4 linked regions of the Saccharomyces cerevisiae S288C genome follow. Changing the gene in region 4 together with the main gene of any one other region gives a genetic interaction. Each region holds a gene or a part of one and is shown on either strand. Other genes may lie near its edges. The genes, in order: COG5, RIC1, ARL3 and APM3.

What was found.
Region 1: mutations in APM3 (region 4) and COG5 together harm fitness more than expected from each alone (negative genetic interaction), as found in Saccharomyces cerevisiae (5 studies listed by BioGRID).
Region 2: mutations in APM3 (region 4) and RIC1 together harm fitness more than expected from each alone (negative genetic interaction), as found in Saccharomyces cerevisiae (5 studies listed by BioGRID).
Region 3: mutations in APM3 (region 4) and ARL3 together harm fitness more than expected from each alone (negative genetic interaction), as found in Saccharomyces cerevisiae (4 studies listed by BioGRID).

What each region holds. Positions count from the first base shown.
Region 1 is NC_001146.8:528,336-535,929, reverse strand, and holds COG5 (Golgi transport complex subunit COG5), read right to left. Parts: upstream 3,272-7,594; coding exon 2,060-3,271; downstream 1-2,059. Other genes in the region: COPII subunit SFB2, read left to right, coding at 1-649; YNL050C (uncharacterized protein), read left to right, coding at 948-964, 1,056-1,851; COX5A (cytochrome c oxidase subunit Va), read right to left, coding at 3,744-4,205; tyrosine/serine/threonine protein phosphatase MSG5, read right to left, coding at 4,519-5,988; VAC7 (Vac7p), read right to left, coding at 6,347-7,594. UniProt on the Saccharomyces cerevisiae protein: Acts as a component of the peripheral membrane COG complex that is involved in intra-Golgi protein trafficking.
Region 2 is NC_001144.5:223,260-232,949, reverse strand, and holds RIC1 (Ric1p), read left to right. Parts: upstream 1-4,353; coding exon 4,354-7,524; downstream 7,525-9,690. Other genes in the region: PDC1 (indolepyruvate decarboxylase 1), read left to right, coding at 1-560; thioredoxin TRX1, read left to right, coding at 937-1,248; NFG1 (Nfg1p), read left to right, coding at 2,499-2,984; AFB1 (Afb1p), read left to right, coding at 3,368-4,042; COX12 (cytochrome c oxidase subunit VIb), read left to right, coding at 7,778-8,029.
Region 3 is NC_001148.4:456,506-463,338, reverse strand, and holds ARL3 (Arf family GTPase ARL3), read right to left. Parts: upstream 3,377-6,833; coding exon 2,780-3,376; downstream 1-2,779. Other genes in the region: DIG1 (Dig1p), read left to right, coding at 1-858; mannosyltransferase complex subunit MNN9, read left to right, coding at 1,373-2,560; KTR6 (putative mannosyltransferase), read left to right, coding at 4,881-6,221; LEE1 (Lee1p), read right to left, coding at 6,675-6,833. UniProt on the Saccharomyces cerevisiae protein: Involved in the targeting of ARL1 to the Golgi. Can bind and hydrolyze GTP.
Region 4 is NC_001134.8:774,990-782,889, forward strand, and holds APM3 (Apm3p), read right to left. Parts: upstream 4,475-7,900; coding exon 3,023-4,474; downstream 1-3,022. Other genes in the region: APE3 (aminopeptidase Y), read left to right, coding at 1-1,324; YBR287W (uncharacterized protein), read left to right, coding at 1,582-2,865; SNF5 (Snf5p), read left to right, coding at 4,678-7,395; BSD2 (Bsd2p), read left to right, coding at 7,602-7,900. UniProt on the Saccharomyces cerevisiae protein: Part of the AP-3 complex, an adaptor-related complex which is not clathrin-associated. The complex is associated with the Golgi region as well as more peripheral structures.

The sequences.
Region 1 (7,594 bases), on a different chromosome or scaffold from region 4:
AAATTTGAGAATGTTACCTCTATTAATGAATGGACTAAGTAAACATATAGCCCTCAGACCGGGCGTTGTTCCAAGCGATTACCGTGCAAGTGCGTTGAATAGATTGGAAACGGAGCCTCTTCATTATTTGATAAAGAGCATTTACCCTACAGTTTACTCCCTGCACGACATGCCCGACGAAGTCGGTCTACCTGACTTTGAAGGAAAAACGGTTCTTCCTGAACCTATAAATGCCACTATATCTCTTTTCGAAAGATATGGCCTGTATTTAATTGACAATTCCGCAGAATTATTTTTATGGGTTGGCGGAGATGCTGTTCCTGAGTTACTAATAGATGTATTCAATACTGACACCATATCTCAAATTCCTGTGGGGAAAAGTGAACTGCCTCTTTTGAACGATTCGCCTTTCAATGAAAGACTAAGGAGGATAATCGGTAGAATTAGAGAAAACAATGATACAATCACATTTCAATCATTATACATAATAAGAGGACCATCTATTAACGAGCCCGCCAACCTAAACTCCGAAAAAGATATGGCTTCTTTAAGGCTATGGGTATTAAGTACTCTTGTCGAAGACAAAGTTTTAAATTGTGCTAGTTATAGAGAATACTTACAGAGTATGAAGACTAGTATCAACAGATAACAATCAGTCTTTCTTTAATCTTTATCTTTATTAACCGATCATCATGTATAGATTTTGATATACAATACAGATAGAAATAAAAGTAAATCGTGAAAGATTTTGGCCTTTGCGTGTGAGAGTTATGTACTTCAAAAATGCCATTCTGTTCCTACATAAAAAATAAGTATTTTCAAGTCATCGGATCAGTACGAAAAAGAAAAATTTGAAGTACTTAAAATACGACCAGTTTCATTTAAACAGCAATGGAAAAATCTCCTCTAATGAAAAAAAAAGAAAAACATTGAAATTCAGTATAAAAATGTCTGAATTTAAGATGTATGCTTTGACATAAGATACAAGTTTGCCTCTAATTTCATTTTTTTACTAACTTTTCAACGAATCGTTTAATATTCTAATTATTTTGCAGAGTATCAAGAAAAGATCTTTATAATGAAGGAGAGGGATTAGGAGAAGATTATGATTCCAATAGTAGTAGTAAAAATAATAGTGAGCATGTAGAGGTATTAGTACCGCCAACAGAATTTGAATTCGTTGAAGTTGAAAGAACCGACTCATCATTAGATCTCAAAGAAAGTAATAACAGCGCACATGAACAAAAGGAAGAAAAACAAGAAGAATTCGAGTTCCCGTTATTTTCGTTTGGTGTGGTTGAAGCATCGACTAGCCCAGCTCAAGAAGAACAAGGTTCATCAACTCAAGAGAAGGATACGCCACAGACTGAAGTAAGTTTGATGAAAATTTCATTGAAGGAACCTGAAGAAGAAATAATCAACCAAGAAAGGCCCAAAGACTACTACTTTGCAAGCTATTCTGCAGACCAAAAGCTGCAATTCCAACAGAGCTCTATCGACTATGATGTGATAATACAAGAAAGTACAAAAATTCTGGAGGATGATCTACGTATTCGTGATAAATGGCCATATTGCCAGGGTCGAATAATAGATCTGTATAAGCACAATGCGAGAATAGAGTTAGAGCAGCAGAAGGAATTGAAGATTAAAAAGAGGAGACCTGGTCAAAAGCAACGTGCAGCCAAAAAACTGGCACTTGAAAGAACCAAGGAGCGTGATACCAAAGCTCGTGAGATAAAGAAACAGTTGAAGAAAAAGTTTCATAAGCGTGGTGGAAAGAAAAACAAAAAAAAGGTACCTTTGAACCCACTGGCAAAAGCTGGCAGTACCCCTAAGTTTAGGACAGAATGACCACGTAAATGTATATATATACATATTAATACTTCATATAAACTAACCGATATTGGATTTCTCATAATAACTATTACTAGTATAATCTTTAATAATATAAACAAATATTACATTTCATGTAATTTTTATTAAACATATGCACATGCTATTGAAAATTGCTTTAGATTCATCCTATTTCATCAACATTCTTAATTTTATGTAAACTGTCTCACTTATTTAGAGAAATAGATACTGAGTTTAGCATTACATCCAAGTAGCTTTGGTAATCACTATTATCAGAAGATTTTTTCATACTTTGCTTCATAGTGTTTATAATAAAATCTTTATTTTTTAACAGCGACTTGCCCACAGGGCCTCCTCTATTAACAGATATATCAAAGTCCTTTTTGAAGGCAGATGAAACTTTGCTCCAAAACAGATCTCTCGGTGTACCAGAACCTGCTTTACTCTTCATTGAGGTATATTCTGATAAAAGATTGCCAAGGCGTGATTTATTAGCAGCAATAGATCTCGAGGAATTCGTAACATTATCCGTTTTGATGTTCTGTAGTAGTGTTTCTAAAATGTAGATGTTATAACCTTTTTCAACAACTTCATTGAACGCATCAGGAAACATCCTGATAGAATTTAAAATTTTTGATAGGATTTGTGAGCTCATTGTAACATTAGATAGTACAATCTTGTTTATTGCAGACTCGAATTCTTGAGATGAAAGTAGATATAAGGAGTAGGCCAGCTGAGATATTATTTCTTTGTTCGATTTGATTTTAATAGAGTTCAAGCACTCTTTACACATTTGTAAAGACAAAAATGTTATTAACTCTCTTTTGTTGGGGGAAACAATGTCCTGATCTAATTGTTTAATTTTCCGCAAGGATTTTAGATTTTTATTTTCTTCCAAAGTAATTTCAAGTTGGTAGTGTAAGGAGGCTAAATTAATAGCTGTTGATGTGCTTAGTTGGGCTGTTTTAGACAGTGCGTTTAATTTGTTTGATAAATGAATATAAAGCAATGCTCCGCGCAAGAGAAAAGATGTTTGGTAAACTTTACTCAACGCTAGTTGGACTTTCCTCGCTCTTTCATAAGGATCTAGAACTTGATTCTTTAGTCTATCGTACGACATATTCATATATCCCAAACTTGGTTTCAACTCACCAACTATGGTTGAATTGACGTGTTCATTTTTGTAAATTAACTCTATTATCTCCAATGGGTTGCTATTCATCAATTGGTCTATTCTAGAGTCAATCTCATGTAGATCATAGTTTAGCTTTTTAAGAGGCGTGTTAAGGTCTAAAATGGTTGTGTCATTGTTATTAGTAGCCTTCAGTAAGTCATTACCAAATTGTTTAGCATCAAAATCAGGCTCCAGCAGAGACTCAAAATCTTCTAAATCGTTTGCCATTGGCGCTATTGTCATACCTCCAGCTCTTTTCTTCTTTTTTGTTACACATTTTTATCTTCCATATCTATTCTAGTTGATTTTTTTTTTTTCATAGTATTCAACCAAATGGAGAAGTTTTTAAGAAATACGTCTTTGAAAGGGAGGCATAGAATAACAAGGTAAACCCATTTATACAGGATTCCCTCATACTATATTAGCTTATTTCATTCCAGGGGGGTTCCCTTAAATATAAGAATAATAAGAATAATGATATAAAATTATATGTCTAACAAAAAATTACAAAATTTGAGTAAATAAATAAAGAAAAAATGTGAGAGTGGCAATCAGCCAATTTTATGTTTGATATGTTGGCATTGTATTGGGCGGATGCCCATGGATACACTTATAATGTAATAAGATATTCACTTTCGTACAGGTCACAGACTAGCTGAAAAAACCATGACAATCGTTAACCCCTATTGATTTCCTTTCAAAATTTCTGGCCTGTTCATTTAGATTGGACCTGAGAATAACCACCCCAAGGATTAGCATTCTTCGACTTCAAATATTCGTCACTCTTTAGCTGCCACTCCTTATTCATGGTCTTTGCGTCTTGGCCACCCGCCATCCTGACGACAGCAAAAAGTCCCACTGAAAATAGTAGGCCTGCAGCAACACCTTTGGCAATAAAACTGGAATCACCCTTATTCAATACAGGTCTTCTTGGGCCCCATTCTCCGTAAGAAATGTACCACACAGCTTGCTTTTCAGGCTCAGTAAGCTGTGCCCATGGTAATTTTTGACGTTCACTCAACTTACTGACAATATCCTGCTGCTCAGTGGAGGGCATGTTCTCCCATCTGGATTGCAGATCCATTACAGCAGCGTTGGAAAGAGCATGTGTTTGAGCGAATCTTACGGATGTAATACGTGATAGTCCACCAGCTCTAGTAAAAGTGTTACGTAACATTGTAGATGCGTTCTTAGTTGATCTTGTGTTTGGTGCATTGCTTGCAAACAGAAGACAAAATACGAGGACTGATGGTTCTTATTTAATTGATTGTTCTTTTTAACTTTTCGCCGCCGCTTGTATCGGCGCAAAACGTAGGGCCAATCACAAACGAGGAAAACGTCTATTGGACGATTTTTGCAATGTGACACTTACAATGATGAATAATTACTATGTAGGCAGAAGTGCTAAGTACATTCTATTTAGAAGCGTAGGGAGGCGGTCTGCCTGCAGATCTGATAGTCATAAAGATTCTTTTGGGAGATGCTGTCCCTTAAGGAAGAAACATCATCTGTTCCGGGGCAGTAGATATTGATTCGTTGTCCACAGAAGCTTCCAGTGAATCTGCGGGTTGAGACAAACTTTTACAGTGCTCATCATCTTCCCCGCGTTCTGTGGCCAGTGCGGTCCTTGCTCCAGTCAACGTAGCAGGAGTTCTTGGCGTTACTTCCGAAGAATTGACAGAACTGTCATTCGGCGACGATGATAGATTCGTTACCATGGGAAAACTTCTAAAGGACGCAGAAGAGTAGGACTTCGTAGTCGAGGAAACTTCGTTGTTTCCGATGTCATCTTCCTCAGGCATGTGAACAGTCTCTCCTTCTTCGCCCGGTGAGTTCTTGGACAACATGGTTCCCCATTCCATAAGTTGGAAGATGAGACCCATGTTTGGACTTATATCCTTAGCAACACCTTTCAGCTTATTGTATGCATCATTTAAACTCAAGCCATAATATCGCATGATATACGCCACAATCAATGACGCCGATCTTGATACTCCACACTGACAGTGTACGAGTATTTTCTTGCCTTGCGAATGAGCGGTATGTATAATGCGTGTCAATCGGGATAAGTCCTTGACGATCTTGGATGTGTGTGTCCATTCAATATGGTAATATTTTATTTTATGTGCCATTTCCGGCGGTATTAAAAACTCCAGGTTCGGTATTTCTTTGGCAACATTAATGACTAAATCAAACGATAATATATCTTCTAGTTTGGGTTCTGAATATAGATACAAATTAGGCGGCAGTACCAGCAATGGTCCATCTAAATAAACCGTTCGTTGATAAATCTCTGCATGCACCATATCAATATTCAGATCCGAGTCCTCCTCCGGGAAAATCAATGTTGTTTGCATATTCTTTTGGTTAGAAAATCTGTTGACATCCGTACTATCTAAAGTACCTTCACGAGTACTAGAAATTGGCGTGGATGTCTCTAACCCTGAGATCGTTTGAGAACGTCCTCTAATTCCCTTCAACTTCAAGTCTTTAGTTTTCACGGATAATGAATGGACTCTATTCAGATGAGGTTTTTCTGAAAATGACGATAACGGTGATGATGATGACAGCTTACTGATAGACGATACTGTGGATGATTTTGTATACACGCTTGGAGAAACAGTTCGGTTCTTCAAAGATGTTGGTAGTGTGTATATAGAGGCCTCGCTTCGCCTCATCGACAGCGATGGTGGCGTTGGCCTTGGACTTACTTTTGGTGGACATTTCTCCAACACAATAGGTTTGGGCTTCATAAATAGATTCAAAGGTGTCGGCGATGGGAATTTTACTGAACCTGGCACATCTTGGCTTGGCGATGAGAATTCCATTAATGGATGGAGTGCTGCTATATCTAAAGATAAATTTTTGGTATTCCTATTTTGTAAGGAACGCGGTGAGTTTGGCTTGAAATCGATGTCGGTTTTACTGTCCAAATGCTGCTTATCTGAGTGAAATTGCATGTGCACTTATCGCTACCAAATGTATTACTATCGCTTCCGCTACTATTGTTGTCTTATACTTAAATGAAGAAAAAAAAAAGAATGTTTACTAAACGAGTTGCATAACCCTCACTCTTGTTTACTAAACGCTTTATTTAAAAGTAATAATAATGATATATTACACTGTATCGAATCCTATGTAACATTTTTGTATTTTTTCACTTCTAAATTTGAAATAGTCAAAGAGAAAAAAACATCAAAAAACAAACTACATTTTCCTTTTTTGGAAAGTACATTCCTGTTTTGGAAATTGCCTTCCGCTCCTGCGCTATAAAAAGAAAAATACCCAGCTTTGACGAAAAAGCTACATTCTTAACACTCACTTCTTACCAGGATGGACCATGGAATCCTTTTGAATAGCCGTAGATTTTTGCGTATTGAAAAAGGGCACCTCATACTTCATGCTTCCACGGACTATCAATTCGTAATCATGCTTGATTAGTAGCTTCCATTTTTTAGTATCATCTTCTTTGTCATCTCTAGCATTTGGTTTGCTTTTGTATTGTCTTTCATTAGTATTGTTTTCATCGTCACCATCGTCGCCATCATCATCGTCATCATCGTCGTTTTCGTGCTTGGCTTCACGAGACCCAGGACTTAAAAGCTTGACACTCGAGACTGACACATCGTAGTTCCTATTAAATGCGCCGCCCTGGAACTTTAATGGTGTCTCTAGTTTTTTAGCGGTTCCTAGTAATACCGTCTCTATGTTCCCACCACTAATATCATTATTAGCACTCTCTTCAACTAACGAAAGATTTGTCGTTATTTGTAAAATTTTCCGTTCCTGTTCCATTACTGTACAGTCACCATTAGAATCGCACTTCAGGTAAGAACTTTTTGCAAAAATGTCCAAATCGACTTGGGAAACGCTTATACTGAAGAATCCTGGATTAAAAGCACTTACTGTGATGTCGAAGATCAACTCGTCCGAACTTGAAATCACATTATCCATCACTACCACGTCTACATCTTGTAGTTCTTTATTAGTGGCCAATAAAAATCCCAGAATGAATCCTGTCATCAATAGTGATGATATAACAAATGCAAGATAAAGAAAATTCTTTACTTTCACAAATGGGGACTTCCTTGAGTAAAAGTTGTGCGGTGAGTAACCAACAATATCGTTATTATTGATATTGGAATGGGTAACGTCATCGTTACCATTCATATGGATGCTACCATTCATTATGCTATTGTTTGTTCTTGATAGGTGTCTTTGACCACGTTTCATTCTTAAGGGGGTATATTCATTCAATTGGTTGTTATTGCCAGTATTGTTGCCAACCATAAAATCGTAGTAATCATTATTTGATCTTGAAGGCATCCTTCCATGTAATGGAAGTTCGTGCGTGTTGGATGCTGAGCCATAGTAACTGTTGAAAGTAGCATTTGGGCGATCATAATCATCTACGTCTTCATCTTCACCATAATCGGATATTAGCGGTTTTGTTTCTAAATCGTTCTTATGATTATAATAAAACATGGAGTGAATATCGTTTTCATCACTTTCGTTATCTTCTGGAATAAACTCATGCTGAAGGTTAGTGTGTTGCGGTCGATTTAC
Region 2 (9,690 bases), on a different chromosome or scaffold from region 4:
TGCAAGAAGGTGATGTTGTCATTGCTGAAACCGGTACCTCCGCTTTCGGTATCAACCAAACCACTTTCCCAAACAACACCTACGGTATCTCTCAAGTCTTATGGGGTTCCATTGGTTTCACCACTGGTGCTACCTTGGGTGCTGCTTTCGCTGCTGAAGAAATTGATCCAAAGAAGAGAGTTATCTTATTCATTGGTGACGGTTCTTTGCAATTGACTGTTCAAGAAATCTCCACCATGATCAGATGGGGCTTGAAGCCATACTTGTTCGTCTTGAACAACGATGGTTACACCATTGAAAAGTTGATTCACGGTCCAAAGGCTCAATACAACGAAATTCAAGGTTGGGACCACCTATCCTTGTTGCCAACTTTCGGTGCTAAGGACTATGAAACCCACAGAGTCGCTACCACCGGTGAATGGGACAAGTTGACCCAAGACAAGTCTTTCAACGACAACTCTAAGATCAGAATGATTGAAATCATGTTGCCAGTCTTCGATGCTCCACAAAACTTGGTTGAACAAGCTAAGTTGACTGCTGCTACCAACGCTAAGCAATAAGCGATTTAATCTCTAATTATTAGTTAAAGTTTTATAAGCATTTTTATGTAACGAAAAATAAATTGGTTCATATTATTACTGCACTGTCACTTACCATGGAAAGACCAGACAAGAAGTTGCCGACAGTCTGTTGAATTGGCCTGGTTAGGCTTAAGTCTGGGTCCGCTTCTTTACAAATTTGGAGAATTTCTCTTAAACGATATGTATATTCTTTTCGTTGGAAAAGATGTCTTCCAAAAAAAAAACCGATGAATTAGTGGAACCAAGGAAAAAAAAAGAGGTATCCTTGATTAAGGAACACTGTTTAAACAGTGTGGTTTCCAAAACCCTGAAACTGCATTAGTGTAATAGAAGACTAGACACCTCGATACAAATAATGGTTACTCAATTCAAAACTGCCAGCGAATTCGACTCTGCAATTGCTCAAGACAAGCTAGTTGTCGTAGATTTCTACGCCACTTGGTGCGGTCCATGTAAAATGATTGCTCCAATGATTGAAAAATTCTCTGAACAATACCCACAAGCTGATTTCTATAAATTGGATGTCGATGAATTGGGTGATGTTGCACAAAAGAATGAAGTTTCCGCTATGCCAACTTTGCTTCTATTCAAGAACGGTAAGGAAGTTGCAAAGGTTGTTGGTGCCAACCCAGCGGCTATTAAGCAAGCCATTGCTGCTAATGCTTAAACTCACCCAATGACCGATATATTGTGTTTCTATACTGTGTTTGTTATATATAGTTTACCTTTTTTAGACAAAAAAACAGAATTATATATTATCCTTATGTTTTGTTATTTACTCGGAAGCACACAATTGCCCACCACACAAAGGAGGTGGAGGAAACAATTAATTTTTCACACAAGAGGTATATATTTGGAGAAAAATGAAGAATGAGATACTTTTCTTCCGATTACTTAAGTATTACGGCTCTGAAATTTTCTCGAGCATTAGATGATTAAATCAAAATGACATAGTATTTCGCAACCTTTCAGTTGGGCTTTGTTTAAGAAGTGGAATACTTTTGCTTGAGTTGTTTAGTTTTATTTTATCCACTGTTGTCTTAACAAATATTTTCAAGACCGGTAAGCCGAAGATGAAAAATCATTATTAACTCATTTTTTGAACAAAAATATAAACAAAAGAAAGGCAACGCACAATTTTAGAGATACATAAAACGCAGTGGATGTTAAAAATAACAGCGGTACAGAAACGCCTGTCTCGCTCCAATAATAATTATACAAATTTGAAACCGAACGCAATGTGCCAAGAAATGTAAACACACTATAGAAAAAAATAGAACGGTGCACATTGTGCTAGCATATCTGCTTGGTTCTGAACAAGAAGCACCTGGCCACTTTCTCCTAGCCCAATTCTTGCCAAGTTTTCAACCTCAATCTTTTGTGTTTGAACAAGCATGTATGAGGGGTCAAAATTTAGTGGAGGCCGCTTACAATCCTTCTATTTCCTCTGGACCTCATTAGCCGTCTGGCCAGACCTAAGCGTCATAATCTGGAGAATTTCATTGCATGCGAGAATATGATAAGTAAGAACTTGTTTATTTATACAAGTTCCACCCACTCATACACGGCTACAATTATGACGTATAATAACGTTTCGTCTAGCCCACCTTTTTTACTTTTGACGTTTTATTTCTTTCGAGGATTTGGCCAAGAATGCCCCGAACAGCGGAAAAAATGGCGTCGCAGTTTCAGATGTATAGACTCATCTTGTAGAAAAAAGAATGCAAGAATGAAGTCTTTTCGTGGTGTTTTGAAAACACTATAAACAAACCGTCAACAAACATTTTGTATAAATATTTAGCTATATATTGAATATCTTGACCAGTAAAGCACCTTGAGAAATTGTAAGCTTGAAGAACGTACTTTGATATCCCTCCGTTTCATCATCCTATAGCTCGTCAACAAATCAAAAAAAATATGAAGATCAGTCAATTTGGCTCTTTAGCTTTCGCCCCAATTGTGCTACTACAACTGTTCATTGTTCAAGCGCAACTTCTCACAGATTCAAATGCTCAGGATTTGAATACTGCCCTTGGACAGAAAGTGCAATACACCTTTCTTGACACTGGAAATTCTAACGATCAACTACTTCATCTTCCAAGCACCACCTCTTCCAGCATTATTACTGGTTCATTAGCTGCTGCTAATTTCACCGGTTCTTCATCATCGTCGTCTATACCAAAAGTCACTTCCAGCGTCATAACATCTATAAATTACCAATCCTCAAATTCTACGGTAGTCACCCAGTTCACGCCATTGCCTTCTTCGTCGAGAAATGAAACAAAAAGCTCTCAAACAACTAATACTATAAGTTCAAGTACAAGCACAGGAGGTGTAGGTTCAGTCAAGCCATGTCTTTACTTCGTTTTAATGTTAGAAACAATCGCTTATTTGTTTTCTTAAACAAATATATTAGGTTCAAGGTCTTCGCAGGTGTAAGAAAACCCGTGGTCTCCATATTCTTAAGTATGATAAATAAAAAAAAACTTAATAAATTATTAATTGCTTCAAACCTTTTTCTTTTTTTAGTTTTTAATATTTCAAACGTTATCTTCATTGAACGCCCAAATAGGGAAAAATCCTGGCAAATTTTTTATTGCTGTCATCCAAGGCTATGCTAGAAAATTCAAGAGCTTGGATGATTTAAAAAGACACTCTCAATCGAGAAAGTTTATTCTTTGTTATTCTGCTTTACCTGATCATATTCCGGCGTATTGTTTCTAATCAAGTGATTTCGATATCCAGTTACGAACCATTTACAACATTCCTGAAAATATTGCGTATCAATGATATTTGCTCCTTCTTTCTCCCTCATTAAAAATATTCTCCTGGTAAGCTTTCTAATCAGCCACAGTTTTGCTGCCAAAACTTTAACGTCTAGTTCCAATGACGATACACTTGCCAGGTCCGCAGCTGCAGATGCAGACATGGCATTCTTCATGGAGTTTTTAAACGATTTCGACACCGCTTTTCCACAGTATACCTCATACATGATGCAAAACCATTTAACCCTACCTCAACCTGTTGCTGACTACTACTATCACATGGTTGATTTGGCCTCAACAGCAGATTTACAATCTGATATTGCTCAGAGTTTTCCGTTCACTCAATTCCAAACATTCATTACGGCCTTTCCATGGTATACCTCTTTGCTAAACAAAGCCTCCGCCACCACCATATACCTTCCCCAACACTTCATAACAGGTGAGACAGAAGCTACCATGACTAACTCATCTTATGCCAGCCAAAAAAACTCCGTTTCCAATTCTGTTCCTTTCTCGACAGCGAACGCAGGCCAGTCCATGATTTCCATGGCTAATGAAGAAAACAGTACAACAGCACTTATATCCGCATCAAACTCTTCTTCAACATCCAGAACTAGTCAATCACAGAATGGTGCCCATGCCAAAAGCTTATATTTCCCCATGGCGTTGTTCGGAATCTTTGCAGTTGCCCTTTAAGTGCCTCAACCAAATTTGACAATTTAATTCCATGGGAGGTCCGCCATCCCTTTTCGCTTTTTTTATAATATGTGTATTATTTATACAAATATGTATATAAGTATGTACTTTTTCAATGGACAATTCGATTTTAAGAGCGTTTTTAGTGACAACGATGAACATCAACTTTGTACAGTATCAAACGATTTATTTTTAACATATTATTATAACTTCTGAATGGCGTTGCCATCTTGGCCAAAATCTTGTCTTTTCTGTCGTTTTATGGCAGGCTTTTGTTCTTTGATGTTAATTCGGCAATACCGACGCCTTTGATGTTCATCAAACAGTCTGAAAAAAATACACCTAAATGCCTCTACAAAAAAAAAGGTAAGGTAAGAGTGTTATTGACCGGAAGCTGTAAGAAACTGAACACGTGGAAAATGCACTTATGGCCAGTCAGTCCGCCCCAATTGCTTAGAATTCCACCCCGCAACGCCGAATTAGGTGAGGGTACTAAAATAGATGATTGCAATATTCTTCAATCAATGACACTACCCCAGGCCAATGTTCTTATCATGCTAACCCCAACAAGAGTGCTCATTTACAACTTCAAACCAATGGCACTAGTAGCTAGCCATGAACGAACAATGGCTTCTCTTAAGGAATTTGGCGATAACAGATCAATGAAACGATCAGCTCCATATAATGATATCATCGAAGGGCTTATTTCAAAAAAGGACTCGCAATACTTATTGTGGCACCAGGGAAAGCTGATATTTTACGTAATGACTGATAAAAACTTCCTTTTAACATACCAAATTTTAAAAAACTGCACAAATGAAATAATTTTCAAAGAATACGGCATACCCGTCATAGAGCCTCTTTTAATGAGTGAAGAAGAAGCGAACAGTGCTGAATATGACTATAACAACGATGATGATACTCTCACGGTATTTGATAAAAATAGTTCTTCAAGAATTATACAGAATGGATTTGGCATAACTAAGGAAAAAGGGTTTTTACACTTTCTTTCTAATCAAGAAAACATTGATGAACTCCCCGTGAAAAAACTAGAACTTCGTTTAAAAGTAGTTCTTAAATTTGACTATGAAATCATAGACATGATTGGCATCAAGACATTTTCCAAAGTCGGGGATGGGCGTTATGAAGAAGTTTTGATAGTTTTATTCCCTCATGGATTACAAATACTTACAATATCGGATTTTAAAGTTAGCAAGAGCTCGTTGGTTGAAGTGAAGAAGGGATCCAAGACAATTGTGTGTAATAAACAATTAATGGTTTTATCTCATGATTCCGTCGAAAAGCAGACTATTGTAAGCATTATAGACATTGAAAAGCAAGCTGTTGAAGCAATACCGTTAACGGACACACCAGATGAACTTTTGACTTGCCTAGAAGTTAATGGATACCTGGTGGTCGTTTACAAAGAAAAAATAATCTGCTTTGATACAAGAATTAAAAAAGTAAGCCATTCTTGGAAACCACCATTTGTGATAAAACTTTGCGATAAAATTAATGATAAAATATTACTTTTGGTTTCTGAGGATAGTGTTAACATTCATTTTTACACAGAATTTGGGAATCTGCTATTCGCTACATATTTTGACGAAGATGATTATAATGGTGATAACAATAATGACAACAGCAAGGATAAAAATGAGAAAAAGGCGGCTGAATATAAAATTTCTGATTTTGTATGCTTGGATAAATCACTAATAACAGTGTCTCATTCCGGAAAATATCAAGTTTGGAAATTATGGGAAGAAATAAAACAAACACAATTTGATTTCAGAAACCCAAAATGTTACGTATTAACCAATACGAACAATGATGTAATCATATATTCACCTGTGACAAGTTCTTCAATCAATAATGATAATTTACAAGTCATAAAACTTCCTACAAAGACTTTCAATAATCATATTGCTTTTGTAAAAATTAATTCTTCCTTGAGGTTATTTGCTACTTATGTGTCGAACAAAAACATACTGCTTATCCACAATCTAGAGACCAATATGTGGTCTAGTTTTGCTGACCAAAACGTGTTGGATTTACATTGGCTAGGTGATAATTATTTGGTTTGTCATATGAAGAATGATGATGGCTCAACAAATCTGAAATGTCTGCAGATTCCACTGCAAGAAGCGAATCCGGACGTGGAACTATCAGATTATGTCATGTGGGAATACAATGTTCCAGAGAATACGATTGTTTTCAGTTTACATGTTAATACTTTATCCCGGTATAAGTTGTTGAAAATGAAATCCAAGAATCACAATGCTTCTGAAAAACAACCTGATGCATTGCTTAAAACTGCCGAGATTATTTTAGTTACTGATACACAGACAATTGTCTTCGATGTAATTTCTACTGTACATCCATGTGGATTAAACATCATCAAAAAATTCTACCAGTATCTCAAAATTAACATTCCAATTGATGTTTTACCCAACAAAATTGAGTGGATAATTAACATGAAGGAGGGCTTGTTATTTTTTGCCGATAGGAAATTTATAAAGCTTGGCAAAGTGGATGGAGGGGGCTGGCAAACCTTAACTTTGTTGGATAACATAGAAAAAATAATCGATGTTATCAGGGACGAAATATTTGTAGTTCAAGGCCATAATTACGTCGTATACTCTTTGGAAGATTTATGGGATGATAAAAAGCCACTAGTTTCCATTCCAATCGAAGAAGATTTGTATCCAATATCAACCACCCCAGAAACAGCTACAACACATACACTTCACTGCATTTTTAACGCGCGATTTTCCAAATTGGTGGTGAAACACCAAATATACCTCGACCAATTAATCTTAGCCAAATTAGAAGACAACACAGATTTGGAGGATATTTCACACAATTATCGTTTTTTAAAGCCTTACAAATTTGCACTCGAAAAGATTTTGTCTACTAAAATACTGCGAAGCGACTCTTTGGATGATATCCTGAAATTAATTAAGATGTATGACAACACCGATCCTGAGCATAATATTTCACCACCAACCCACAGTGGTATGTTAGAAATTATTAGTAATTGTTTAAGGAAGATCGAAACTAAATACTGGAACCATCTATTCACTAATCTAAAGATGACACCAAGAGATTTATTAGCACTCTGTATCGAAGAAAATGAGGCTAAAATGCTTGGCGTACTTCTGTTAGTGTTTTTAAATTACGATGAGAAAGATTTGGGAGATGATCTACATTTTAAGAAATCAGATTTAGGGACTGAGGAAAGCAAAGCTCTAAATGATAACTCTACAAAAAAGTCAGAGAAATCTGTCACTAATTTATTGAAGGATGAAGAATTAATGCTTAAAGTCTTAGAGCTTTTGGTGACAAGTGCTGCAAACGCCACAGACCCAATTAAAGCTACCGATTCGTGGGACATGTGTTTCCAATTAATACGCTTACTCAAGGAATTAGACAGAGAAAACAACACACAATTGGTTCAAAAAGCACTCGAGAGATTCAAATAAATCTATATGACACCATGTATTCTTTACCATATAGCTTCATAACATTGACCAATCAATTTTCAGAAATGCGTCGCGCGTAGTTTTGCCCGATATCCCCATCCCTTCAGGATCTTTAAAAGGTGATGAAAGATGCACCAGATAGAAAAGTTGCATTAAAATGATTAGCAGAGATATACAAATATTTTAGTAAGAATACATAAAGTATCTTTGCTTTCACAAATAGGAACAAGCACATAAATACAGTATAATAGACATGGCTGATCAAGAAAACTCTCCACTACATACAGTTGGTTTCGATGCTAGATTTCCCCAACAAAACCAAACAAAGCATTGTTGGCAATCTTATGTGGATTATCACAAGTGTGTTAATATGAAGGGCGAAGATTTTGCTCCGTGCAAGGTCTTTTGGAAGACCTATAACGCCTTATGTCCCCTAGACTGGATCGAAAAATGGGATGATCAAAGAGAAAAAGGTATTTTCGCAGGTGATATCAACTCAGACTAAGGATCTTAGTTTCGTTTTTAGTAATGTGCACTTAGCCTTTTTTATATCATTATTATTAATTACTAGAATTCATTTTTGCGTAGTAGACCTACACGGGATGAAGGATATCTATATGAAAAGTAAAGTAACAATAGGAGATAATGAAAAAGTGATATCATACGCTAACGAATGTTCATGATGGAGCCAAATTCCTAAAAATCAAACAAACAGAAAAAAATGAGAATGATGTGGGGTACTGAAGTTTTATTTTTCATATTTATTTTTAATTATAGTAAGTAGCCATTTCTATATATATTCAAAAATTATTTGACCCTCGTAACATCTGCCACTGCACTGAAAAGAACAAGGCAATGGATAACGCTGATAAAGACGTCAGCATGAACTTTCAATTCACTGAGATAGCAACATTTTCGAGGATTATATAAGGGGTACTAATCTCTTCTAGTCATCGTTTGAAATACATTCAGGCTGAGAAAGATAAACGCTGAACATGTTGAGAATAAGGCACTTCCTGGGACCTACTAAAAGATAATAATATAGTATTTGAAGAGACCTTCATCAACAGCCTGAGATCGGCACACATCCTTCACAAGCGCCCCAGTTCCAGACTGAAGTACACATTTCTATCTCTTACAGTCACTACTTGCGATTGCTACTACTAAACGAAATGATGGCTGATTTCTGAATGTCAATTCTTTACTTATTGTTCTATCAGGCTAGAAGGATAGTAACATAAACTTCTAAAGTACCTTTAAAGAGCCTCAATGCACTGCCTTAACAAGCAAATGACAATTTTCCTATCAATTGTTTCACGAAATACGTTTGTCGTAATTTTACGCATTACAGGTCAGAAGGAGACTAGATAAGGCCGATTCTCCGAGTACTGTTGAACCACAGGCTTCAGCAAGTGAAAACCAACAGACAAAACAAGGAAAACAGCAAGATTAACCGTTTATATTTGCTTCTACTACCTCAACGGAGAATGGAGCAGGCCTTTGAAAACGCTCCTACTTTTGAAATTGCCTTTGTAAATATTGTATCTCCAGCCGCGCTTAGCTAAGTGGATATCACTAGATTAAAAAACACTCTCGAGCTACCCTATGAAGACAAGATTCATCCATAAACTCCCTAAGTGGGTATCCATTAGATGCCAACTACTTCACTCATGCAATACATACAGCAATTGCAAGACTTGTGATTTTAATCCAAAAGAAACTTCCCTGGGTGTCATGAACCCAATCAATGGCCGTAACTCTTCGTATGGTCAGTTTATAACTCTCAATCACGTTTCCTCGCTCATACCCTAACAGGTACGACTCCTCTGATCATATAGAGGGATTTTAATGTTTCTGATTTGGGAAACATTCAATTTTTCTCCTGACAACCGTTTAGTGTCAAACATTGGATATTGCCCTCGTTCAGAGGGCACAGAATAAAATTTGATTTCTGGTTCATTTTCTTGGCCAAAGATTAATTGAAGTTGTCAAGGCATGCCAAAACTTCCTTTAAAGGTATCATCCCTGTACCGAACATTCCTGTGCTCCTGTATATATCATAATAAGATATAGGTAGTACAAAGGCGCGGATCCGTATACGAGATCTATAAAAAAAGCATTGTTGAAGAAAGGGCAACTGCATATTTGTAGTGGTGAAGAGTATGG
Region 3 (6,833 bases), on a different chromosome or scaffold from region 4:
TCTATACAAGTGAATAATAGCAGCAATAGTTATGGGAAACCACACATGCCCTCGGCGGGCATCATGAGCGCCATGAACCCTTACATGCCCATGAATCGCTACATAATGTCACCATATTATAATCCGTACGGTATCCCTCCACCTCACATGCTGAACAAGCCCATAATGACACCCTACGTGTCGTATCCATATCCAATGGGACCGCGGACCTCCATTCCTTATGCTATGCAAGGTGGCAACGCTAGGCCCTACGAAGAAAATGAGTATAGTGCTAGCAATTACAGAAACAAGAGGGTTAACGACTCATATGATTCGCCTTTGAGTGGCACCGCTTCCACTGGGAAAACCAGACGATCCGAGGAAGGCTCAAGAAATTCTAGCGTAGGATCAAGTGCGAATGCCGGTCCTACGCAACAGCGCGCGGATCTACGCCCAGCAGATATGATACCTGCTGAAGAATACCACTTTGAACGGGATGCATTACTCTCGGCCAACACGAAAGCCAGAAGCGCAAGCACAAGCACAAGTACAAGCACAAGCACAAACCGGGACAGGAGTTCATGGCATGAGGCAGAACCCAATAAAGACGAAGAAGAGGGTACGGACTTGGCCATCGAGGACGGAGCGGTCCCCACTCCCACTTTTACTACGTTCCAGCGGACCTCGCAGCCGCAGCAGCAATCACCTAGTCTTCTTCAAGGCGAAATCCGACTCTCATCGCATATTTTTGCCTTCGAGTTCCCCCTGAGCTCTAGCAATGTAGACAAGAAAATGTTTATGAGCATATGTAATAAAGTATGGAATGAATCAAAGGAGCTGACAAAAAAATCATCATCACATCACAGAACCGGAAAATAGTAGCCACACAGGCACTTATAAACTTACATACACTCGCATACACTCACCTACTCACACACGCACTCACACACACACTCTCACTCGCACACCAAGGACAATTCAGTACATACACAATTTTTATATAAGTTTGATAAACTAAAAGATGAGGGTGAGTATTCACCTTATTAATAGTTACAGCCTTTATCGTCACTAGACACGACAGCATTGGTTTGTCTTTTTTTTTTTTTTTTTTTTTTCCTTTCCATCGTTGTAGCGGATTTGGCGTTGAAGTATTTTGATATAAGTAAAACAGAACACCAAATCAAGAATAATAAAGGAGGAAAAGTCGTCAACCAAGCGGATTCTCAATTGGTAGAAAAGCTTTTATTATTTTCTGTTAGCCGCTCTTGGGACCCGTTATTTCTGAACCTATTTTTCCTTCCGCACTTTGTGAAAGTAAGAAGAGAATAGCATCAATTTTAGTATTTTTCAAACAGAAGAATTTAAAAGAGCTAGAATAAAAAGTTAGGAAACAATGTCACTTTCTCTTGTATCGTACCGCCTAAGAAAGAACCCGTGGGTTAACATTTTTCTACCTGTTTTGGCCATATTTCTAATATATATAATTTTTTTCCAGAGAGATCAATCTCTGTTGGGACTTAATGGCCAGTCCATTTCCCAACACAAATGGGCACACGAAAAGGAAAACACATTTTATTTTCCCTTCACCAAGAAATACAAAATGCCAAAGTACTCTTATAAGAAAAAAAGCGGCTGGTTGTTCAACGATCACGTGGAAGATATTATCCCAGAAGGTCATATTGCACATTATGATTTGAACAAATTGCACTCTACGTCAGAAGCAGCTGTCAATAAGGAGCATATTTTGATATTGACTCCAATGCAAACATTTCATCAACAATACTGGGACAATTTGCTGCAGCTAAATTACCCTCGGGAATTGATTGAATTGGGGTTCATTACACCAAGAACAGCCACTGGTGACTTGGCCTTAAAGAAATTGGAGAATGCTATTAAAAAGGTTCAAACGGACAAGAAAACTCAAAGATTTAGTAAAATTACTATTTTGCGACAGAATTCCCAGAGTTTTGATAAGTTGATGGAGAAGGAAAGACACGCTTTAGATGTTCAAAAGGAAAGACGTGCAGCAATGGCTTTGGCGCGCAATGAATTACTATTCTCCACCATAGGACCTCACACTTCTTGGGTGCTGTGGCTAGATGCCGATATTATAGAGACACCACCATCTTTAATTCAAGACATGACCAAACACAACAAAGCTATCTTAGCTGCAAACATTTATCAAAGATTTTACGATGAAGAGAAGAAGCAACCATCAATCAGACCATACGATTTCAACAACTGGCAAGAAAGTGACACCGGTTTAGAAATAGCCTCTCAGATGGGTGATGACGAGATTATTGTCGAGGGTTATGCAGAAATTGCCACTTATAGGCCATTAATGGCTCATTTCTACGATGCTAATGGCGTACCAGGTGAAGAGATGGCGCTGGATGGTGTTGGTGGAGGCTGTACTTTGGTCAAAGCAGAAGTTCACAGAGACGGTGCCATGTTCCCTAATTTCCCATTTTATCACTTGATTGAAACAGAAGGTTTTGCTAAGATGGCGAAGAGATTAAACTACGATGTATTTGGCTTACCAAACTATTTGGTTTATCACATAGAGGAAGAGAACCATTGAGCAACTGAGCAAAAAGCATACAGAAGCTATAGCGTTATTGAAAGATAATATTGTTGCGATTATTAGTTGAAAATAAACAAAACAAGATATATATTCATATATATATATATATAATTTACACATGTATATTAAAAAATGCCGAATAAAAAGTGCTACAACAACTAATTTCTGAGCTTGAGAATAAACCATTCACATTTTATTTCTTTTGGTGCTTCTTTATCATTTATAAATCGGTGGTCTTGACTTTTTATTCCTTTCTAGTCTAACAATCATCCATTCTATAGCGTCTTTAACACCTTCTCCAGTCAATGCGCTTATTGGTAAAACCCTACTATCTCTAGCGCTTATATGTTCCGCAATCTTATTAAATACTTCTTTTATATCTTGTACTTCCATTCTATCTTGTCTATCTTGTTTATTGGCCAGCATCAAGATGGGTACACCTTCAATTTCTTCATCCATTACAACTGACTGTAGGGTCGTGGAACATTCGTCTAATCGTTCTCTATCTGAACTATCCACAATGAAAATTATACCATGACATAGGGAATAGTATTCGGACCACATTGATCTCAGTGATTCTTGACCACCTACATCCCAAAACTTCAAGATCTGTTTACTGTCAACGGGTATTGTCGCCACATTTTGTCCTACCGTAGGCTGTATCTTTTCCAAGGCTTTGAACGCCAGAGAGTATTCCTTTTTCAATGTCTCCAAGAACGTCGTTTTGCCTGCATTGTCTAGACCTAATATTAGAATTGAATATTGTTCCTTTTTATTCCAATTATTGTAAAGTCCCTTGACTAAATGAAACATGTGTGCGGTGCGCTTTATATGCTTTATTCTCCTTCATCTACTTGATTAACACATCGATCTGAATTCGTTTTTTAATTTTCCGTTTACATTTGTCTGAAAAAGGTGTAAACATATTTCTTATACTAACACTCCCATAAAGTTCAAAGTAGAAAATAGGAGGTGGGGGAGGATACGTACATATGCAAGCTACATTGACGTATCTGCTCTTAAACATAAAATAAAAATGCAGTAGTATGTTAACTTATTTAATGGTGGGATATATGCTTCTAACTGAATATAACTGCTTAGCATTCAAACTCTAAAATAACAAAGTTTTCATCACCTAATAAATGAGAAATAGAATCCGTAGCTAAATCGGTCGAGTTCAACAAGACTTCTCTATCTTCATTTTTAATCAGTTTCCCACCGACCCAGTTAAGATTTTTCAAAAGATCCAAACCATTATTAATTAAATCATCTCTTAAAATATACAATCTCAATTTCATGTATTCGAATTTGAAGTTTTGGTTCAGGTTGGAAGTTAGCTCTAAAAGGGCAAGTAACCAATCTTTATTTATATAGGTACTGTGGTTATCATGAACGTTCCTACTATTCAGTAAAGATGGTAATACAACATGGAAATAGTTTTCATTAAGTTTACACCAAATCAGTTCCTGCGTAAATAGGGGAAGATACAGTATGAAATACTGCGAGCCTAGTTTTCTCCAATTGTAACCATCGTGGCTATTATTATTTTTATATTGCTTGGTATTTTCATTATAAATTAGTCTTTTTAACGTAGTTTTCATATCGTTTACAAGCTTATTTTTCAACAGCTTAGCAACAGACTTCTGATTGTTCCCCTTATTTTTTGACGGAACATTGTAATCTAATATGAATTGAGATTCCATGCATAAAATAACATCCCAGTAAAAATCGATGATATCAATCTCTGGTGGAACGTCTAGAGGGATGTCACGCGCACCAATCCTTAAATCCCCCACTAGCCAAACTATACGTAGAAAGTTTAGGCATTGGTGTGCACTTATTACTTTTTAGCAGTGAACTTACTGGAAAATGTAAAGAAATACCCAGATTTGATGGGTCCTCTATGAGCCTCATGAGTTCAGGACTCTGTAAAACGTTTATTATTTTTGTTTTCCTTTTCTGTATTACTTCATACATTTTCAAAGATCTTTTTACTTCTTTATGTTATCCTCACTATTGAAATACAACGTTACTAGGTCTTTTATCTTTCCATATTTTTATTCTCAATCACATACATATATAGTCATCGCCGATTATCTTTTCGTTTTTTAAGTGGCGCTCTCGTGAGACACGAGTTGTTCCTTCACAGGAAAAAAAAATATAAAAATAACCTTCAAGTTACATGTGATATTTATTCGAGAAATGTGGATGAGATTTGTTAAATGTACTTATAATGTGTACGAGTATACAAGACTAGAGGGATACTAAGCGTTCACCCAACCTTTTGTGCCCTTTAGTGAAGATAAGATAAGGTAAGATGCACGTACTGCTGAGCAAAAAAATAGCACGCTTTCTGTTGATTTCGTTTGTTTTCGTGCTTGCGCTAATGGTGACAATAAATCATCCAAAAACAAAGCAGATGTCTGAACAGTATGTTACACCATACCTTCCGAAATCTTTGCAACCTATTGCAAAAATTAGTGCAGAGGAACAAAGGCGTATACAAAGTGAACAGGAAGAAGCCGAATTGAAGCAATCTTTAGAGGGAGAGGCCATTAGAAATGCCACCGTGAATGCCATTAAGGAAAAGATCAAATCTTATGGTGGTAATGAAACGACGCTAGGGTTCATGGTGCCATCGTATATCAATCATAGAGGATCACCACCAAAGGCGTGCTTTGTCTCACTAATTACTGAAAGGGATTCCATGACCCAAATCTTACAATCTATTGATGAAGTGCAGGTGAAGTTTAACAAAAATTTTGCTTATCCTTGGGTTTTTATTAGTCAGGGGGAGCTTGACGGAATGAAGCAAGAAATGATTCGTCAAGCCATAACTGATTCTATGAATGGTGATCCTGAGTTAATTAATATTAAATTTGCTGAAATTCCTGCAGACGAATGGGTATACCCTGAATGGATTGATGAAAATAAAGCAGCAGAATCGCTAATTTCATTAGCAAATGTACCGGATGGTGATTCTAGAGCTGTAAGATATCAAGCTAGATATTTTGCAGGGTTTTTTTGGAGGCATCCAGTTCTGGATGAGTTTGATTGGTACTGGAGAGTAGACCCTGGTATTAAATTGTACTGTGATATTGATCATGACCTTTTTAGGTGGATGCAAGATGAAGGCAAAGTGTTTGGTTTCACATTGAGTATGAGTGAAGCTAAGGAAGCCAATGAGAAGATTTGGGATGTTACGAAAAAATTTGCAAAGGATTTTCCAAAGTTTATTTCCGAGAATAATTTCAAGTCATTTATTACAAAAAAGGACTCTGAAGATTTTAACAACTGTGAATTCACATCAAATTTTGAAATTGGTAATTTGAACTTTTATAGATCGCCAGCTTACAGGAAATTTTTTAATTACATCGACGAAGAGGGCGGTATTTTCTACTGGAAATGGTCTGATTCCATCATCCACACAATTGGGTTATCGATGCTGTTGCCAAAGGATAAAATACATTTTTTCGAAAATATAGGATTCCATTATGACAAGTACAATAACTGTCCCCTAAACGATGATATATGGAACCAATATAATTGTAACTGTGACCAGGGTAACGATTTCACGTTTAGAAGTGGTTCATGTGGCGGACATTACTTCGACATTATGAAGAAAGATAAGCCAGAAGGTTGGGATAGGTTACCATAAATCAAAACACTGATGTATAAGAACAATAATCTTCTACATATGAATATATATACATATGTATTTATTTATTTTATTTAATTTTTAATTAGGATCGCGAGAAAGAGAAAAACAAAACTAACTTATGATGGAACGTATCGAGAGGAGGTGAATATATATATATAAAATGACTAGGCTAGAAGATTCAGAGCTTCATGTATTGTCGTAGTTTTTTTGGTTTGACTTTTTTAATCAAATTTCAAATTTCAGTAAATAATTGGTTGGATATTACTATGCAAAATGCAACCGTATTTTAAAATAAAATTAAAAGAATCCAACTCATACAATGAAATGTTTTTTATATTAAACGTGCTTTTTTTTATTATTTTTTGTTCTTATTTTCCGGCTTTCGGAAGATGTAGAGTGGTCCGGTATATTAATGCTTGAACTAGGAAAAACTATGGATGGGGCGGCTCTTCATTCATGACAGTATCTGGAATTGAAATTGTGAATAAGTAAATCTTCAATTTCATTATCTGATTCTTCTTGAATTGCAGGGCCTGTACGATACCTTAAATTCTGATTCACACTCGGATTCGATAACGTAGTTTGGCCTTGCTCTTGCCAAATGTTAGA
Region 4 (7,900 bases):
TTCTACTCCTGACTACGGTCACCCTACCCGTGTGATCGGGTCCAAGGGTCATAACAAGACTATGGAATACATATTGAATGTTTTCGATGACATGCAGGACTACTATGATGTTTCTTTGCAAGAGTTCGAAGCTTTATCCGGTAAGATCATCTCTTTCAACCTCTCTGACGCCGAAACCGGTAAAAGCTTTGCTAACACTACAGCTTTCGCACTTTCTCCACCTGTGGACGGGTTCGTAGGTAAGCTAGTCGAAATTCCTAACTTGGGATGTGAAGAGAAGGATTACGCCTCTGTAGTCCCACCAAGACACAACGAAAAGCAAATTGCCCTTATCGAAAGAGGTAAGTGTCCTTTTGGCGATAAGAGTAATTTGGCCGGTAAGTTCGGTTTCACCGCTGTGGTCATTTACGACAACGAACCTAAATCTAAAGAAGGACTACACGGTACATTAGGCGAACCTACCAAGCACACTGTCGCCACCGTCGGTGTTCCATATAAAGTTGGTAAAAAATTGATTGCCAATATTGCATTGAACATCGATTATTCATTATATTTTGCCATGGACTCTTATGTAGAATTTATCAAGACCCAGAACATCATTGCCGACACAAAACACGGTGATCCTGATAATATTGTTGCCCTTGGTGCTCATTCAGACTCTGTTGAGGAGGGCCCAGGTATCAACGACGATGGTTCCGGTACTATTTCCCTATTGAACGTCGCTAAGCAATTGACCCATTTCAAGATCAATAACAAGGTCCGTTTTGCATGGTGGGCTGCTGAAGAAGAAGGTTTGCTAGGCTCTAACTTCTACGCTTATAACTTGACCAAAGAAGAAAACTCCAAGATCAGAGTATTTATGGACTATGACATGATGGCTTCTCCAAACTATGAATACGAAATTTATGATGCGAACAACAAGGAGAACCCTAAGGGGTCTGAAGAGTTGAAAAACCTGTACGTAGACTACTACAAGGCTCATCACTTGAACTACACTTTGGTCCCATTTGACGGTAGATCCGATTATGTCGGGTTTATCAACAACGGAATTCCAGCCGGTGGTATTGCCACTGGTGCCGAAAAGAATAACGTCAACAACGGAAAGGTCTTAGACAGATGCTACCATCAATTATGTGATGATGTCTCTAACTTATCCTGGGACGCATTCATTACCAACACCAAGTTGATTGCTCACTCTGTGGCCACCTATGCTGACTCTTTCGAGGGTTTCCCAAAAAGAGAAACCCAAAAGCACAAAGAGGTGGACATATTGAATGCTCAACAACCACAATTTAAGTACAGGGCCGACTTCTTGATTATTTAAGTGTACTGTTCACATCAAGTATTTCTGTATAATTATCTAAAAGAAAATAAAAACCCTCTTTTTTTTAACTGCACGTGCATCAAGGGGATCACAGCCTCCTTATCAAAGTGAAAAAAAGGTAGAAAAAAAAACTGAAATTGTGATATAAAAGTTTAAACAGGAAATTATTGTAAATTGAACAATATGTGTGAAGCCCGTTTTTGGTTTGTTATTCCCAACTAACCATACCCTCATAGATTACTCTGCATTTCTACTATATGGTTGAAACATTTAGTTTTGCTCATTTGGCTTATTTGGTCTTTGAGTCCGTTTTACAGGTAGTCATTATCGCACTCGCTGGTTTTTGGAGCGCTAGTTCTGGTCTGCTGCCCAAACAAAGTCAAAAAATCATTTCTCTGTTGAACGTGGACCTTTTTACACCATGTCTTATTTTTAGTAAGTTGGCCAAATCCCTGTCCATGGCCAAAATCTTTGAAATAGCCATCATTCCTATTTTTTTTGGTTTGACTACTGGTATTTCATTTATTTCCGGAAAGATAATGAGCCGTATCCTAGACTTGGATAAAGATGAAACTAATTTTGTGGTGGCAAACTCTGTCTTTGGTAACAGTAACTCTCTACCTGTGTCCTTGACATTATCTTTGGCTTACACTCTGCCCAACTTAACTTGGGACCAAATTCCTAATGATAACAGAGATAACGTTGCATCAAGGGGTATTTTATACTTGCTGATCTTTCAACAAATCGGACAAATGCTGAGGTGGAGCTGGGGTTACAATAAGCTAATGAAGTGGTCTGGAGAGAACACTCAGCATATGCCACCTTCTCAAGTGCAATCTTTGTTGGAAAGGACGCCCAACATTGATAACGAGGAACTTGTCAATGAGGAACAAGAGGAACAAGAATTGCTTGAAGAAGAAAATAACAGAATGAACTCATCTTTTTTGAGTTCGAGTTCCATCGGTGATAAGATTTGGCAAAAATCATGCACTGTATTTGAGAGAATCAGAGCGAACCTTAATCCTCCGTTATATTCCATGATTTTTGCTGTTGTTGTGGCAGCAATTGGTCCGTTGCAGAGAGAGCTATTTATGGAAGATGGGTTTATCAATAACACATTTGCCGAGGCTGTTACGCAGCTGGGTTCAGTTTCTATCCCACTGATCCTGGTTGTCCTCGGTTCTAACTTATATCCTTCTGCGGAAGTCTTCCCTAAGACGGTTCACCATAGCAAGTTATTGATCGGCTCCATCATCGGAAGAATGATTTTACCTTCTTGCTTCCTTTTGCCTATTATTGCTATTGCTGTTAAGTACATAAACGTGAGTATTTTGGACGATCCAATTTTCCTTGTTGTCGGTTTTCTTTTGACTGTTTCCCCTCCTGCCATTCAATTAACTCAAATCACTCAACTGAATGAATTTTTCGAGGCAGAAATGGCCGATATTCTATTTTGGGGGTACGCTGTCTTAAGTTTGCCTGTAAGTATTATTGTTGTCTCAGGTGCAATTTACGTTTTACAGTGGGCTAACCCAACTTAATACAACTTTTCATTCCTTTGTATAGAGTCTTCATGAATGAAAGTCTTATTCATTTTTTTTTTTTTTTAGCATAGTTTTATATTCCTTTTTTATTCCAAGACTTATATTCTCATTATATTCTATTTAGTTTCGCATGGAATTTCAAGTACACATATAACTACAGCCTTACTTGAAAATTGCCTGTCTGGGTCTTATACTTTGCACCCTTGTACAGCTTTGTATTTTTGCCAATTGTTAATCCAGATACAATATCGATGGCTTCTACATAGATTCCACTGGCCGATTGTCCTATGTAAGAATATTCTAAGGAGACTGTTTGTAAATCAACTTTTTTTGTAAAATTTGGCCCAGTATTTTCATACTCAATACAGCCACGTAGTACAGGTACCGTTCCAGTGGCAGTTGATTTATCAAAAATCCATTGTCCTTGACCCATGATAATGCTATTTTCAAAACGGCCATGAGTATTGCGCAATATTTTTATCTTATATGCTATTTCATTTGGATCAGCATTCTCAACATTGAACTGTAAATCTATTTTTAGGTCATCAACTTGTGAAACTTTTTTGAAATTTTCAATATTTAAGGATAACTCAAATTCATCAGAATCTTTACCCAATCCATTTTGGAAGTGTAAAGACATCAAGCCAATAGAATTCATCCTTACTCCGGATTGCTTTACTTGAGAACTTAAATCGACGGAATACTCCAGCAATCTGAACTTCCCATCTGGTGGTATAAACGTTATATTAGAGGGAGAAAACACACCATCATTGATTTCAACACAGTCATGCAAACTGGGTATACCTATATCATTTCCCATAGTGTTTAATTTTACTGCAACTAGAGGATTATCATTCAAATAAGATCTCACGTCCACTATTCCATGGATACTTCCAGTGAGCAACCTTAGATGTGATTTTTTCTTTTCAAATACAACATGGAATGTTTCTAACAAATCCACATAAAGCTCATTATTCTCATGTTTGCTAGCCCTTGAAGTTCTCCAGGGAACAATCTCTTCATTTTCGATTAGTGAATTACTACCACGAGAAATCTGATTTTGTTGTAGCTGCTGTTGCCTTTGTTGTGGGAGTTGCACAGCCTGCTGTAAATTATGGGCTGTAGAACTTATGAACTTCGATAAATCCGATCTTTCAGGAACAGCTTCTTTAATTTTATTAACATAGAGCATATCACTCACATTTGGTTCACCCGCTTCGACGCAACAGTTAAAAATCAAACTGATTCTATCATAATTATTAACAATTTTCTTGATACTTAATTTATCCTTGTCAAAATATTCTAACAGGATACGATCTATAGTCTCTAAAAAGGTAAAACAATCAAGCGGGCCTTTTGACTTCGAAGTGGAGGCTAAGCACCAATAATTGAGCTTATTTATAACTGAGAAATACTTATAGACCTCTAAATCTCTTCCAACCATTGAATGGTCTAAATAATCATCACTACTGCTATCTTCGAGCAATTGAGGACATGTGGACTGAACGCGGGTCCACAGGTGCTTGAAGGAGGGAGCTGTTGCACCTAAAAGATACTGGAAAATAAGTTTGTTCTTTGTATCAGTGATATAGAATGACAAATACATCTATTTTGGTTGGGTTGGTAAGGTTTACAGCCTCTGTTGTTGCCCAAGTCCTGTTATCGCCAACTTTAAATAAATCTCTTCTTGTTCTTTGACCAAAAATTTCATTTTTCGTCGCATTTAAAAGAAACTGAAATTTCAAACATAAACACCAAAACAAAGCATCATCAAGGGAACATATAGTAAAGAACTACACAAAAGCAACAATGAATAATCAGCCGCAGGGTACCAACAGCGTTCCAAATAGTATTGGAAATATATTTAGCAACATTGGAACTCCATCTTTTAACATGGCGCAAATTCCGCAACAGCTGTATCAGAGCCTCACACCACAACAATTGCAGATGATTCAGCAACGACACCAACAGTTACTGAGGAGTCGTCTACAACAACAACAACAACAACAACAACAAACTTCACCGCCACCGCAAACGCATCAATCTCCACCCCCTCCTCCGCAACAATCTCAACCCATTGCTAATCAATCAGCGACTTCTACCCCTCCTCCTCCTCCAGCACCACACAACTTACATCCCCAAATTGGTCAAGTGCCCTTAGCTCCAGCGCCTATTAATTTGCCTCCACAAATTGCTCAGTTACCTTTGGCTACACAGCAACAAGTTTTGAACAAGTTGAGGCAGCAGGCCATAGCAAAAAATAATCCACAGGTTGTGAATGCAATTACTGTTGCACAACAACAAGTGCAACGCCAAATTGAGCAGCAAAAGGGACAGCAAACGGCACAAACTCAGCTAGAACAGCAGAGGCAATTGCTGGTTCAGCAGCAACAGCAGCAGCAACTTAGAAACCAAATACAGCGACAACAGCAACAACAGTTTAGGCATCATGTGCAAATACAACAGCAGCAACAAAAGCAACAACAACAGCAGCAGCAGCATCAGCAACAACAACAACAACAACAGCAACAGCAGCAACAGCAACAGCAACAGCAGCAGCAACAACAACAGCAACAACAACAACAACAGCAGCAGCAGCAGCAGCAGCAGCAAGGACAAATACCGCAATCTCAGCAAGTTCCTCAAGTTAGATCCATGAGTGGACAACCTCCCACCAATGTTCAGCCAACTATTGGCCAACTTCCTCAACTTCCAAAATTAAACTTACCCAAGTACCAAACTATTCAATACGATCCACCAGAAACCAAGCTACCATATCCAACCTATTGGTCAGACAAAAAAGCAGATACGGATACTTTGTTGTACGAACAAATTATCCAGCGTGATAAAATTAACAAATATTCGCTAATAAGAGAAACCAATGGTTACGATCCGTTTAGCATTTATGGATTTAGTAATAAAGAGTATATTAGTAGACTGTGGCATACACTGAAGTATTATCAAGATTTGAAGAACACTAGAATGAAATCTATCACAAGCACTTCTCAGAAGATTCCTTCGGCAAGTATTTGGGGAAATGGTTACTCAGGGTATGGTAATGGGATTACGAATACAACTACCAGAGTTATTCCACAAGTAGAAGTTGGAAATAGGAAGCATTACCTAGAGGATAAATTAAAAGTCTATAAACAGGCCATGAATGAGACATCGGAACAGTTAGTTCCCATAAGATTGGAGTTCGATCAAGATCGTGACAGATTCTTCCTCAGGGACACTTTGTTATGGAACAAAAATGACAAGCTTATTAAAATTGAAGACTTTGTGGACGACATGTTGCGAGATTACCGATTTGAGGACGCTACGAGAGAGCAACACATTGATACTATTTGTCAATCTATACAAGAGCAGATTCAGGAGTTTCAAGGAAATCCATATATAGAGTTGAATCAGGACCGTCTAGGCGGTGATGACTTGAGAATTAGAATCAAGCTGGATATTGTCGTGGGACAAAACCAGTTAATCGATCAATTTGAGTGGGACATCTCTAATAGTGATAACTGTCCAGAAGAGTTTGCAGAGTCCATGTGTCAAGAATTAGAACTACCAGGTGAGTTTGTGACTGCCATTGCTCACTCCATAAGAGAGCAAGTTCATATGTATCATAAATCACTGGCACTGTTAGGTTACAATTTTGATGGATCAGCGATAGAAGATGATGACATTAGAAGCAGAATGCTCCCAACGATTACTCTTGATGATGTTTATAGGCCTGCAGCGGAAAGCAAAATTTTTACTCCAAACCTATTACAGATTTCAGCTGCAGAGTTAGAGAGATTGGATAAAGATAAGGACAGAGACACAAGAAGGAAAAGAAGACAAGGTAGATCTAATAGACGTGGTATGCTCGCATTGTCCGGCACATCTGCAAGTAATACATCTATGAACGGCGTTCACAACACAGTAGCAGCAGGAAATGCTTCATCGTTGCCACCAGGAGAGATTTTACTGCCAGATATTGCAGATATTCCAAGAACTTTCAGGACTCCAGTACCTAGCACTTTAATGCCTGGTGGTGTTGACGTAGGCCCTTCTGTGGAATCGTACGAATTGAGAAACACAACCACTTATAAAAGCAGGCCAGATAGACCTAAGCCAGTTTCACCTCCTTGTTATATTATTGACCATATTCCGGGTCATTCGCTACTACTTTCTATTAAACTGCCTGGGAAAGTTAATACAAAAGAAGAGTTCGCAGCAGCGCCCAATGACACAAGTAGTGGCACCAATGCAATGCTTCCGAGTCCAGAATCGCTGAAAACTAAGCTGAATAGTAACATTCGCGCTGGTGTGACGATACCTTCAATCCCAAACCCGATTGCCAATCACACTGTTACTAATTCACCCAATCCCACACTGCAGCCAGTAATCCCAGGTGGGGCAGCTAGTAAATCGGTACCTACACCTAGTCTTCCTATAGCACCTCCAGTAGCACCACATGATAGCGAAGCGACATTGTTGACTAATAGCAATAATGGTAGCAGTAACAATAACACACAGAATACATAGAAAATATATACACATATATAAAATATACCGGAGATGTAAATAACCGTGGAAGAATTTGTATTATCATCGTGTTATACGATGCGGAGTCCCTTTGCGCCTACTTTTTTTAGAAGAATAGTACATAACCTTTATAAAAATCTTCCAATTTAGATACATAAAAAGAGCATGAGAATAACAAGAACACGTAGTCTAGGAAACTAAGCGCTATGCCAGAGCAAGAACTACTTATAGGGCAAGAAATGAATACACTTCATGCAGGTTCATCTACTGATGGCATAAATGTCGGAAACGCAGGACGAACTAGAGACACACAAACTGGCGTAGAAGGGGAAACGGAAATAGGGTCTGACGAGGAAGATAGCATAGAGGACGAGGGAAGCAGCAGTGGAGGAAATAGTACGACAGAAAGACTAGTACCACACCAGCTGAGGGAACAAGCAGCCAGACATATAGGAAAAATAGGAAGACATTTTAATATTCTTGATAGACTTTTTAAGAAACGTAC